Mus musculus: one gene and its partners. The protein of the gene in region 2 purifies or fractionates together with the protein of the main gene of each other region. This does not show direct contact. Links are inferred from orthologs where the notes say so. Each region holds a gene or a part of one and is shown on either strand. Other genes may lie near its edges.

Region 1 (4,201 bases), on a different chromosome or scaffold from region 2:
AATCCCAGCACTTGGGAGGCAGAGGCAGGTGGATTTCTGAGTTCCAGGACAGCCAGGGCTATACAGAGAATCCCTGTCTGGGGGAGGGGGGAAGGGGAGGAGAGACACTTGTCAAGTTGCTCTAGGAGAAGGTAAGGAGGGGTCCTTGTCCCTAGCCTGGGAAATGCTGCTCTTGGCATATGTGTGTTGGGCAGCATCGCCCTCTGCTGGCCATTCCTGGTGATGCAGCTGGGTTTTTACCAGGCCATTCCCCAAATGTCGGGAATGCTTACCAAGTTCTAACTCTTCCAAACCTGTTTCAAGATTAATGCACCACCTTCCTCGTTGTGATCTCCAGTTCCTTTCCTTGGTTCCCTACCCCAAACCTTATGGGTTCCAAACACCTCATAGGGCTACGAAGCCCTTTATGATCTGACACTGACACGTGGCCTCCATTTTTTTTTTTGAGTCTGGGTTCTCTGGCTGCCCTGGAACTCGCTCTGTAGACCTGGCTGGCCTCGAACTCAGAAATCTGCCTGTCTCTGCCTCCCAAGTGCTAGGATTAAAGGTGTGCACCACCACTGCCCAGCTTCCAATAATCTTTTATTTTTTGCTTTCTTGAGAAAAACTTGCCATGTAACCCTGGCCGGCCTTATTCAAGACAAGATTTCGTCAAACCCTCAGTGATATCCCTGCCTCTGTCTCCTGAGTGCTGTATGCTCTGCATAGTAAACAGTTAACAGCACCCAGAAGTACCTTTGTCAGCAAAACTGCCTGAAGTACTTCCTAACTCCTGCCCATGCCTTTCAGGTCTCATCTGGGGGCTTTATCCCTGCCAGAAAGTCTCTGACCCTGCCTGTGGTGAGCAGGTCCTTCCCTTTTACACAGCGAATTCCTCATATCTGCAGGTTTCCTTCTTGTTTGGAAACACAAAGGTTCTCCCCCCAATTTAATCTCATGCCAGCCCTACAGGCTGGATGTGATGATAGAAGGAAGTCAAATCTACAGAGAGCACAAAGTTGGATGAGATGGTTCGGCGGTTAAAGATGCTTGCTGCCAACCTTGACTGAATTTTATCCACACTCCCATAAGTTGTCTTCTGACCGCATAAGTATTTTTAAGAGGACTCGAGGGTCTATGCGATAGGGCCAATACAACCACTCCAAATATTAACACACGAGGACCTCAAGTTAGAGTAGCGATCAAATGACACACGGTCCCCGCTGACTTTCCCATTTGATAGGTTTAAGATCCATCAGCGGGGCTACGCATGCGCATAAGAGAAGGCCCGCCTTTGACCCGGAACTTTGATGCTTGGGTGCCGCATAAAGACGCTTGCGTAACCGGAAGTACCTGCGGGTACCTAGGGTCCAGCCTGGCTTCCGGAGCCCGCTGTGGCGGTTACTGTGTTGAAGAGACCTGTTATGGAGGCGGTGGCAGCTGCAGAGGTGACGGAGAGGAAGCCGGATAATGGTGAGACGTTTGCCAGGCTCAGGTGACCGGAGGGTGCTCTTGCGGTGTGACCAGGAAATGGTTCCGGCAAGCGCTGAGGACTCTAGGAAGTCTGACCGCCGCTTACTGGCACTTTCAACACTTGGTCCACCTTGTGGGTCTGGTTATTCGGCCTTGTAGCAGGTTGACGTTTCCCTTCTTCTTTGAAATGAACCCCTTTCCATGTCCTAGGCTAACCCACTTTTTTTTTTACCATGCCAACGCTTCAAGCAAATAACAACTCTCCTGCAGATTCTTCCAGTCTCAGACCAACCTTTCTCAAGTTAACATCATTTCTGTGCCAACCTGAGTTTCTCCGTATCCCAAGCTAGCTCTCCTCTTGTCCCATGAAAGCTCACATCAAACCAACAGCCCCCATTGCATTCTAACCCTTCCTGACCCCAACGTCTGCCTCTTTAGGTCCTAAAGTTCTCATTCCGCCCCTTTAGGTCCTTTCTCCCTCGCACCTTCAATGCCTTTTACTTTGCTACTGACTTCCTACAAGTATTGGCTTGGGGGGGCGGGGGCGGGGGCTTTTGTTTTGTTTTGTTTTGGGGTTTTGTTCACAGCCTTTTATTATTGCCAAGGTCAGCCTCCAAATTGCTGTCCTCCAATCCCAGGTCCCAAGGTACTGAGTTTACAGCCCTGTGCCACCACGCCTGTCTTTAATGTTTCATAGTAGTCTGATGTGCGATGACAACTTGGAACTGGGAGTTACTGAAGCTGAATAGCAGATTATGAATGTAGAGGCAGAGGTGTGTTCTAGTGTGTGTTTCAATCTTTGATAATCTCCAATTGTGGTGATTTATATCTGTAACCCCAGCACTTGGGAGACTGAGGCAGGAGATTACCCTTAAGTTTGAAGACATCCTAAACTACATAGTGAGTTCCAGACTACAAAGTCAAACCCTGTACTATGAGGCCCTGCTTCAAAGTATATATATTAACATTTTCTGTAACAAAATTGTATGTATCTTTTAAACTTTCTGGTGCTGGGCCTCAAGCCTTACAAATGCCAATCACATTTGCTACCATGAAGCCATAAAAGAGAATCTGGGGCAAGATGTGGTGAAATGGGCCTATAGTCAGGAGCCTAGAAGGTTCAAAGCCAGGGATTAAGGCCGTAGCTTATTAGTGGGATGTTTGCATAGCATGCCTGAGGCCCTGGGTTCAATCCCCAGCACCATCTAAACTGTGTGTGGTAGAGCAGGCCTGTCCTCCTAGCACTGCCAAGACACTGCTCATAATTTTCTTACCCATCACCTACTACAGCGTGCTCTCCACCCTGAACTTGTTCCAGTCAGGTAGGATCCCCAGGGACGTCCATTCATGGCTATTCAATCTACTTGATTAGAGTTTTGTTGTTTTGTTACATTCTCATTGTTATTCATTCATTTGTTTGATTGTATATTTATTTATTTGAGGTGGGGTTTCACCCTGTAGCCTAGGCTGACCTAGAACTCACTATGTAGTCTAGCCTGGTCTAAAACTCATGAATCATTCTACCCCAGCCTCCTGAATGCTGGGGCTATTTGTGTGTGTGTGTGTGTGTGTGTGTGTGTGTGTGTGTGTGTGTATGCATACATACATACCTGCCCAGCATCCAGACTGTTTTCTTACTATACTGCTTCCAGCAGCCAGTGCCAGCCACCTGGCACAGTTGCCTTATGAGAGAAACAATATGCACTGCTTCCCTTCTGTTTCTCAGGCTGCTCTTTCTTAGCTCTTCCAACTGCTATACCAAAGACCAGAAACTGGGTGTTTGGTTTTTTGTTGTTGTTGTTTCCTTTTCGGTTTCTCGAGACAGGGTTTCTCTGTGTAGCCCTGACTGTCCTAGACTTGATTTATAGACCAGGCAGTACTCGAACTCACAGGTGTTCCCCTGCCTCTGCCTCCCAAGTGCTAGAATTTGTGAGCTGCCATGTGGATGCTGGGAATTGAATCTGGACTCTGGAAGAGCAGCAGCCTATGCTCTTAAACGCTGAGCCATCTCTCCAGCTACAAGATGTCACTTTCCTGGCAAGCCTGCTACCCTGCAGTTTAAAAGTGAGCCATCCTAACATTTGCTGCTTCTGTCTTTTTTAGGCTTTTCATTGGATACTTTATTTATCATCATCATCATTTTGTTATCATTGGTGTTTTGGATTTTGTTGTTTGTTTTTTGAGATTTTTATTTTGAAATTCAATATCACTGTGTAGGCCTGGCTGGCCTTGAACTCAGAGAGATCCACTTGCCTCTGCTTCCTCCACGCTGAAACTGAAGGTGTGTACCACCATACCAGGCTTGTCCGACTGTCTTTCTACCTAGCCAGGGAAGCACGTAATATATTCCATGGTTGTTTGTTTGTTTGTTTGTTGTTTTTTCGAGACAGGGTTTCTCTGTATAGGCCTGGCTGTCCTGGAACTCACTCTGTAGACCAGGCTGGCCTCGAACTCAGAAATCCACCTGCCTCTGCCTCCCGAGTGCTGGGATTAAAGGCATGAGCCACCATGCCTGGCATATTCCATGGTTTTGTTAATTAGTTAGACTATTGACTGTGCAGCATCACGGCCTGTTCACCATGGTCTCTCTGTCTAAGGCCTAGAACATTACCCAGAATGTAGCAGGTACTCAGTAAACGTGAGCTGTTTGAATGTGTCAGTTCCCAGCCTCCTCCTGCCTAAGCCCCCTTCCCCTGATGCCCTTAACTAAAGACTCCTCTTGACTCTCAGACGGCGTGGAGCCCAGAGT
Region 2 (3,645 bases):
CCTCCTATGGAATGATTCTCCTATCCCATCTCAAACCCTTTACTCCTCTACCTGAGATAACTTCCCTTCCCACCTATCAACCCTAATAGGACCCTGCTCCCTTAAGTTCCAGAGGAACCCTGAGATCAACCACTTTGTTCCTGGTCCCAGAAGAATAAGACTTCAGCCCAGAAGCTGTATTTGACTCTACTGGATTGGACACAGATTTTTCCTACTTTCTCTCTTGTCTACTTCTGTCCATGGTAACTCTTATGAATGGAGACTTGAGGTTTAAGAAATCCCCATTTATAACAAACAGTTCTTCCAAATAGGATTGGAAAAATACCACTCGGGCTATAAAACTTAGCGTACACACACAGCACCATCTGCCAAAACTAAAAGGCCTAATCCACCAAAGTCTATCATTCTGGGAAAGTCTCTAAATGTACTAACCTTGCCTTTTGGTTTCTGTAGTTCCACTTCTGGCTAACTGTCCTTGTTAACTGAAATATGTCAGCTGGGACATGGCTTTCGTGCTTTAAAACTCATCCTAAGGATGAGTTCCAACTCAGCTTGAAGATACACGAGATCGCAAACATCAGACTTTCTATTGGCTTAAACCCAAATCAGAGCAGCAGACTCTGGCAAATACTCCACAACACTTCATCATATTTCTAATTCACTTTTTCCAAAAACTGTATTTCAAAGAAAAAACAAAACCTGCCTTCACACAAAAAAATTAAGACAAATATTTATATATTACTAATAGACAAAAAGTGATTGACTAACAATAAGTACTAGAATGTTCAGTGGCCTTCTGTATTTGTGTGTATGTGCATGCATGCAACTTGAGCCCAAGTGAGCACCTGAAATTTGATCTTGAAGCCAGCCAGCATTGGCTACCTAGTAAGATTCTGTCATGAAAAATAAAGAACGAGGTTTTCATCCTAGTACTCAATAAACATAAGCAGGTGGATCTCTATGAGTTTGAGGCCAAGCTGGTCTATGTAACATGTCCTGGGCTACATGGTGAAACCATGGCTAAAAAAAGATATAATTCTATAGGTAAATCCAGATTTAACGCTTGTTCTAAAACTAGTCTTGGGATATGACCATTTCACCAGGAAACAGAAATCTTAAAGTGCAAGACTAGTTTTACAACTTAGCTCCTAAAGTCTAAACAGAAGCTAAATGCCAAATTCAAACTTGGCTCACAGTTTCTAAACGCCTGAGCCAAACTAAATTTCAGCTGCAACACTCTTTCCTGGTGAAAGGTTGTTCTCAGCCATCTCTACAAACTCCTCCAACTCTGGTAGAACCACAGGCTGAGGACTTGGCACAAAAGCTTCCTGCTGGGCTTCAAGCCTGAGGATTTTCTCTTTTCCTTTTTGTTTTTTTGAGACAGGGTTTCTCTGTGTAGCCCTGGCTGTCCTGGAACTCAGAAATCCTCCTGCCTCTGCCTCTGCCTCTGGAGTACTGGGATTAAAGGCGTGCACCACCACTGCCTGGCAGTATTTTCTCACCTCAAAGTGTTGGTGGAGATGGCAACAATGCCCTCGGGACACTGTTCAGAGGCAAAGCCCGATGCAAATTCCAGGGTCTCATAAGACAGAGGGGTGAGATGGAAGCGAGACTGGTAAGAGTAGCTCAGCCATGAGCGACTGGACATAGCCAGAACCTGGGGAGGAAGAGTTCCAATCAGACTGGACAAGCTCATACATGGTAGACTGACCAAACAAACATACAACCCAACTTTGGCCTCAAATTTTAGAAGTCTACAAAGCCACTTTAAACAAAGGGAGCCCAAACAGGCAGTACACGGCTTATTGTATAAAGAAAGGAAAAAAATAAGTAAAAAGAAAAAGAAAAAGCAAGCTTTATCAATCACATTCCTCTGGACCGACTTTCCCTTGGGTATAAATTAGAGACTCTATTCCAAGGTTGGACAGCTGTAGATGTGAATAAGGTAACGTTTAAGAACTAGCACGGCAGTGGCAGTGTTAACTCTGAACTGCGAAGAATAGGCTCTCATTCCTATTAGGTAGACTCATGAGATCACTATAATCCTTTTCCATCTCAGATAGCTAGGCCTAAATAGACTCAAAGATCAATATTCAAGCTTCCTATAACCTCATAATGCCCAGTGCCATCTCATGGACCATCTCTTAGAAAACTCCAAAGAACCCAGAATTTCCTATGTAAGTGAAACGAACATCAACCTACAAAGTGAATTAGTCAGAAGTTCACAGTGGTACCAACATCCAAATGTCTTTTGACTACTTACAGCCTCCTGGCCTTGCATCCGGACCCGGAAGAGTTTCACAGGACGGGACCCCAGATACCTAGTGCGGGTGTCAGACAGGTCCCCAGTAACAGGGTCTAGGACAGTCCTCAGCAGTACACCGTTCTAGTGGAAAAGATGGAACAGGTAAAGCCTCCTTTTTATGATGGGAACTTTTATGTTAGATTTTCCTTTGGCTACTTTAGTAGAAGACAAAGATATGACTTGGTGGCGAAAACAACATAAAACAGGTCACAGCGCCCAACAATCAGGAATTCACTCATTCTCTCCTAGTTACTAAGCATCTACTGGCAAAACCCACTTCTCATTATACATACATTTCCTGTACATTAAGAAATATTTCATTTAAGCCAGGTGGGGATTGTGCATGTCTTTTAAGCCAACACTCAAGAAACAGAGGCAGGAAAATCTCTGAGTTTGAGGCCGGTCTGTTTGGAGAGCTAGTTCCAGGACAGCCAGGGGTCAAGAAACCCCATCTCACCTCCCCATCCCCCCCAAATCATTTAAGTTAAGTACTTTTTATAATTTAAAAGCAGACCTCCGCAAAAAACAAAACAAAGAAAACAAACAATTAAAGGCTGGGATGTACTGACTATGGTACCTCTAAGCCTCATTTTCCCTAAAGGAACACGGTTCCAAGGGATGACTGATTCAAGGCTGAAGCAAGAACATTCCCAATGCAACAGTTACCTAATTGTGCAAGAAGGCAGGCAAGATAGCTGGGTCAAATAAACAAACGAATTTCAAGGGAAACCACAATCAAAAATGAAGCAAACAAAAATCTAAGAGATGACAGTAATTTGAAGAAGAAAATACCCACAAATTTATATAGTTAAAAAATAAAAATCTACCTCCAACCAACAAAATCCCTACTTCATCAGACTCAACTAGAATGACTGCTGTAATCCTAACTCCTACTGTAAAATTAGTGACTGAAGAAGGGGTTGGGAGAGAGCCATTATCCTTTTCCTGTATAAAGTATGTTTAGAGCAAAGGAATAAACCTCAATTTACAGACTTGATTACAAACATTTCAACATCACGCACCTCCAGTGGGATGCAACAGAGTAGGGCCACTTCCACTACAACAGTTACGAGTGAGTAACTGCCGTCAACGTCTATAGTCTGCACTAACTGTGATTTTTCACGAGGAAATTAAAACATGCAAAGTATCAGATATTCAGAAAGTGTTACTAATCTTGGTGGGTATGACATTACTAGTTTCTTAAAGCAAAACACTATAGAGATAACATTACTAAGTATAGGAGGGAAGAGGTACTGCCCTAGATTTGCTGTAAAATACTCCTTTAAATGGGAAAATGAAGACTCATTTGTGTGTCTCATGCTCAAGCATTTTAAAGTATG
Region 3 (4,159 bases), on a different chromosome or scaffold from region 2:
TTTTGGAGCACAGGTTTTAAGGCGATGTTTCCCAGACCAAGACTTTAAAAAACATTCTCTTCTTTTACTCTATTAATATTCAGGAATGTAACCCACCAGGAATTCTACATTATCACTCATGCTTTATTTTAGCCAAATGGCAATGGAATGATAATCTACAATATCATCTAATAACACTTCATATTCAGATTTTCCAGTCTACTTATTTTTCTACAATATCCATTGTGCACTCCTATAACATCCACTACAGTAAACTACACGAGTGATATTACCTATTCCATTCTCCCATGAGAAAGTAAGTAGCACGACTTTTCTATAGTAACACACACCAAGTACAGGCTGAACGTTTCAGCAACCTTAAACTACTACATTACAAACAGTATTTTGCCAGGCACGGTGGCAAAGACTTAATTCCAGCACTCAGAAAGGAGGAGGTGGGGAGAACAGGGTCCTTTTGTGAAGAAAATATTCTGCTGAAGAATTCCCTTATGAGCAAGGCAGTGGTCATGCCTTTAATCCCAGCACTTGGGAGGCAGAGGCAGGTGGATTTCTGAGTTGGAGGCCAGCCTGGTCTACAGAGTGAGTTCCAGGACAGCCAGGGCTACACAGAGAAACCCTGTCTCGAAAAACAAAACAAAACGAAACAAAAATTCCCTTATGCTATCTAGAGATGCTGGTTGGTGGCAGTGAAGGCCTCTAATCCCAGCACTCAGGAGGCAGAGGCAGGATGATTCTCAATCTAATGTCAGCTGAGATAGAGTGATTTCAAGTCAGGCAGCACAACTTGTGAGACCCTGTCTCAATATAAAAGTAAAAAGAGGCCAAGGAACACATAAATTCAAATTATTTTCCAGTGAGTCCTTCATTTTGTGAATTCTCTTCTTACTTTTGTTTTCTGTGTAGCCCTGGCTGTCCTAGAACTCCCGCTGTACAGCATGCTGGCCTTGAACGCAGAGAAAGTGTGAGGATTCAAGGCATGGGCCACCATCACCTAGCTGTGAATTCTTTTCTTAATGAGACTGGCACATCAAACAGTAAAGTGTATGGGGTCCTTTTAGTACCCAAATTTTTCCTATTTGAATAGAAAACCAAAGAGAACTGGATAGTGAGAAGTATCTCCAGTTAGAAAAATTAAGAAACCTGGCAACTTACCAGACGCCAGGAGGATTAAGAGAAAGGTAGCTAAGCACACTTCCTAAGTTTGGGCAAGGTGGCAACGGGATAAATACAGGCAATACAGTCCAATACAAAACTCATGCACAAATAAGAAAGCCCACACCAAAAGTGCAAACCAGTCAACCATTTTCACAGGGCAAAAAACATTCTCCCTTGGGGGCTGGCGAGATGGCTCAGCAAGGTAAGAACACTGACTGTTCTTCCAAAGGTCCTGAGTTCAAATCCCAGCAATCACATAGTGGCTCACAAAACCACCAGTAATGAGATCTGACACCCTCTGAAGTCAGCTACAGTGTACTTATTTATAATAATAAATCAATCTTTGGGCCAGAGCGAGAAGAGGTCCAAAATTCAATTCCCAACAACCACATGAAGGCCCCAACTGCTACATCTGTACTGCTACAGTGTACTCACATACATAAAATAAATACATCTTTAAAAAAAATTCTCCTGTAATTAGAAATCTCTATACTTTGCGCTATACAAAATAGGGTCCAAGACAAATCAAAGCAGCAGCAGCAGGAGAGTGAGCACCTGCCTAGGATGCTGGCAAAGTTATCATAATAGAACCTTTAAATGAGATGAACATGTTACTGTAAATACATTATAGTTCATATCAGGGAGTAAAGAAACGGCAAGTCTTAGCATTCTACCTAGGTTACAGTCCAAATACAAATGAACTGGGGCTGAGCTCAAGGTTAAGTGACTATTAGAAGCTCTCTGCGTGCCATCCCCAGAACAGGGGAAAATTTTTTTAACCTTAAATGCCTTCTCCCTCAAATTCCTCCTGAAGTAATTTTTTTTTTTCCAATTTCAAGCAGGCTATGAGTCACCGTTAAAAAAACTTCAAAAATGTTTTAAAAGAATTCTTGTGAATTATGTACAACTACTTCAGAAGGTGTTCAATGCCATTCTGGCCAACTACAACAGTCTTGACTCAACAAGAAACTAAATATTTCTAGTTATTTGCTTGATATTGTATAACCTGCCTCAGGCTTGACCCAAGCCTGTTCATTTGAATTAAACCAGCATGCCTCTAGTTAGGCTCCACTTCCGATATTAACTATGCAGGCGAAATTAATTTATTACCTTCTGCCCCATCCTAGGACATTTTGTCTTTCCTGAGTTAGAAGCCTACACTAACCACTTACATACTTCGTATAACTGGTCAAATTTAAGGAGATCTTAGTCTAAAACGTCTTGCAAATCGGCGTCATCATTTGCAGATAAAACCATGCTAGGTCTACTAAGTCCTCCTCAGTGCAAATGGTCCGATTCGCCAAGAAAACGGGCCACTGCTCCGTTTAAGCTGCCGGATACTGGGTGGGCAGAGGCGGCTCGGCCCCTCCATTCCTGGAAGACCGGCGGGGTCTGCGCGCTGGCCCCTCGCCCGGGCTCTGGGCGGCGGGCAGGGCGCGGCGGGGCCCGGGGGCCTGAGGCCGTTAGCAGGCCGCGCGCACGCGGCTTTCCCGCCTCCCTGGGAGCACAGCGGCCCGGCCTCCCGAGCCGACCCCAAATCCTCTACCCGTCGTCCTCGCCCGGCGGGGGTACCCTCCTCACCTCACGAGCTTCATCCTAGCGACGCAGTTCTCCCTTCTGGCCCGACTGTTCACAGAATTCAGGCTCCAGAGATCCACGGACTGGGGTTATGAATGGCCGGAAAAGCGCGCGGAGGCCTGCGGACGCGCGACGAGAACGCGGAAGCTGCGCTGCCTTCCGGCCACCGGGAGGGCGACAGCGGCCCCTAGCGACGGGAGGAGTGCTTTGCACCTTCGGAGGGCGGGAGGGCTGGTGGACGACATCTTCTGCAGGTTTTTTTAGACCAGTTACGAAGTTATTAAAACTACTTGTGAAGGCCTGGAACTTTCACATGTTAAAGGAAGAGAAGTTCTGAAAGAAGCCCACTAAGATTCGAGTTTAATACTTGGGATTCACATGTTGGAAGCAGGGAACTCGGTCCTGCAAGATGTCCTTACTTGGCTTGACATTAAGCTAAGCCAATCAAATCTTTGGACAGAATGGTTTTCCTTTGGGGATGCAGGGTACCTTCTTAAAACTAGAAAAACCACTCTCAGGACAGAGTTTTAAATAAATTTTATATATAGCAAGTCCTTCGACTTAAAAAAATGTATGTGGATATTTCAGTTAAAGTTAAAACAAAAAATTCAACACCTTATTTGCAATAACCACACTGTTAAATGTAGTTACTCAACATATACATTTGTCTCTAATTACAAACATAGTGCAAATAATTTTGAAAGAATTTGGATGATATTAGTTTATTATCATTTGATTCTATAATTTATTATTTATGGCTCTAGAGAGAATATCGTGTCTAAAAGCAAGGAAATACAACTGCTTTCTGCGCTCTCCAAAACTGCTTACATGGAACGTGATTTTGTCAACAAACACCCCTGTCCCCATGTATGGGAACTGGTCCCAAGGATCAATGAGACCAAAGAAAGAGGCAGGCAAGTCCAGAATTGCAGTGTGCAGCTTAAGGGTGACTTATAACAGAACAATGGGCCTGGACATTAAGAAAAGCAGAGGTCCTTGTAATGTGGGTTATAAAACAGGGGAAACGTTATTTCATAGCTAGGCATGGTGGTCCAAGTTTGGGCCACAAACTCTATCTCGAACCTTCCCTTCCCCCTAAAAAGAGATTTCAGCCAAATAAGATTATACCTTGTCTATTTTAAGCTAATCAGAGCCAGGTACATTCTTAGTCCAAGGTCTGGGCAGAAAGGTTCACACAACTCTCGAATGATTTTGTCTGTTTTATGCTGGAAAGCCAACCAGGGTGACTCAGGGGTAATTTTAATACTTTCTACTCAAAATAATTTTAGTAATGGCAAGATAAATCTACAGTTCTTGATTGATATTTATGAACAATTAAATACCTCCCTCCATTAAAATGTATGCTTTATAAGGATACATTGTGCATATCATTTGGTGCAATAATGCCAGTACTGATCACCTGGTG

The links. The genes of interacting proteins can lie anywhere in the genome.
Region 1: the proteins of Sf3b3 (region 2) and Ccdc97 purify together in Homo sapiens (affinity purification with mass spectrometry; 3 studies listed by BioGRID and IntAct, counting the BioPlex papers as one, with this or other methods). This does not show direct contact. The link is inferred for Mus musculus from reciprocal best matches to the Homo sapiens genes SF3B3 and CCDC97.
Region 3: the proteins of Sf3b3 (region 2) and Snrpd1 fractionate together in Homo sapiens (co-fractionation; 4 studies listed by BioGRID and IntAct, with this or other methods). This does not show direct contact. The link is inferred for Mus musculus from reciprocal best matches to the Homo sapiens genes SF3B3 and SNRPD1.

What each region holds. Positions count from the first base shown.
Region 1 is NC_000073.6:25,716,169-25,720,369, reverse strand, and holds the start of Ccdc97 (coiled-coil domain-containing protein 97), read left to right. Parts: upstream 1-1,334; 5' UTR 1,335-1,403; coding exon 1,404-1,452; exon of another isoform or gene 1,453-1,474; intron 1,475-2,090; exon of another isoform or gene 2,091-2,225; intron 2,226-3,370; exon of another isoform or gene 3,371-3,516; intron 3,517-4,182; coding exon 4,183-4,201. UniProt on the Homo sapiens protein: May play a role pre-mRNA splicing through the association with the splicing factor SF3B complex which is involved in branch-site recognition.
Region 2 is NC_000074.6:110,819,205-110,822,849, forward strand, and holds part of Sf3b3 (splicing factor 3B subunit 3), read right to left. Parts: intron 2,387-3,645; coding exon 2,264-2,386; intron 1,658-2,263; coding exon 1,503-1,657; intron 1-1,502. UniProt on the Homo sapiens protein: Component of the 17S U2 SnRNP complex of the spliceosome, a large ribonucleoprotein complex that removes introns from transcribed pre-mRNAs.
Region 3 is NC_000084.6:10,616,504-10,620,662, reverse strand, and holds the start of Snrpd1 (small nuclear ribonucleoprotein Sm D1), read right to left. Parts: upstream 2,868-4,159; 5' UTR 2,751-2,867; coding exon 2,737-2,750; intron 1-2,736. UniProt on the Homo sapiens protein: Plays a role in pre-mRNA splicing as a core component of the spliceosomal U1, U2, U4 and U5 small nuclear ribonucleoproteins (snRNPs), the building blocks of the spliceosome.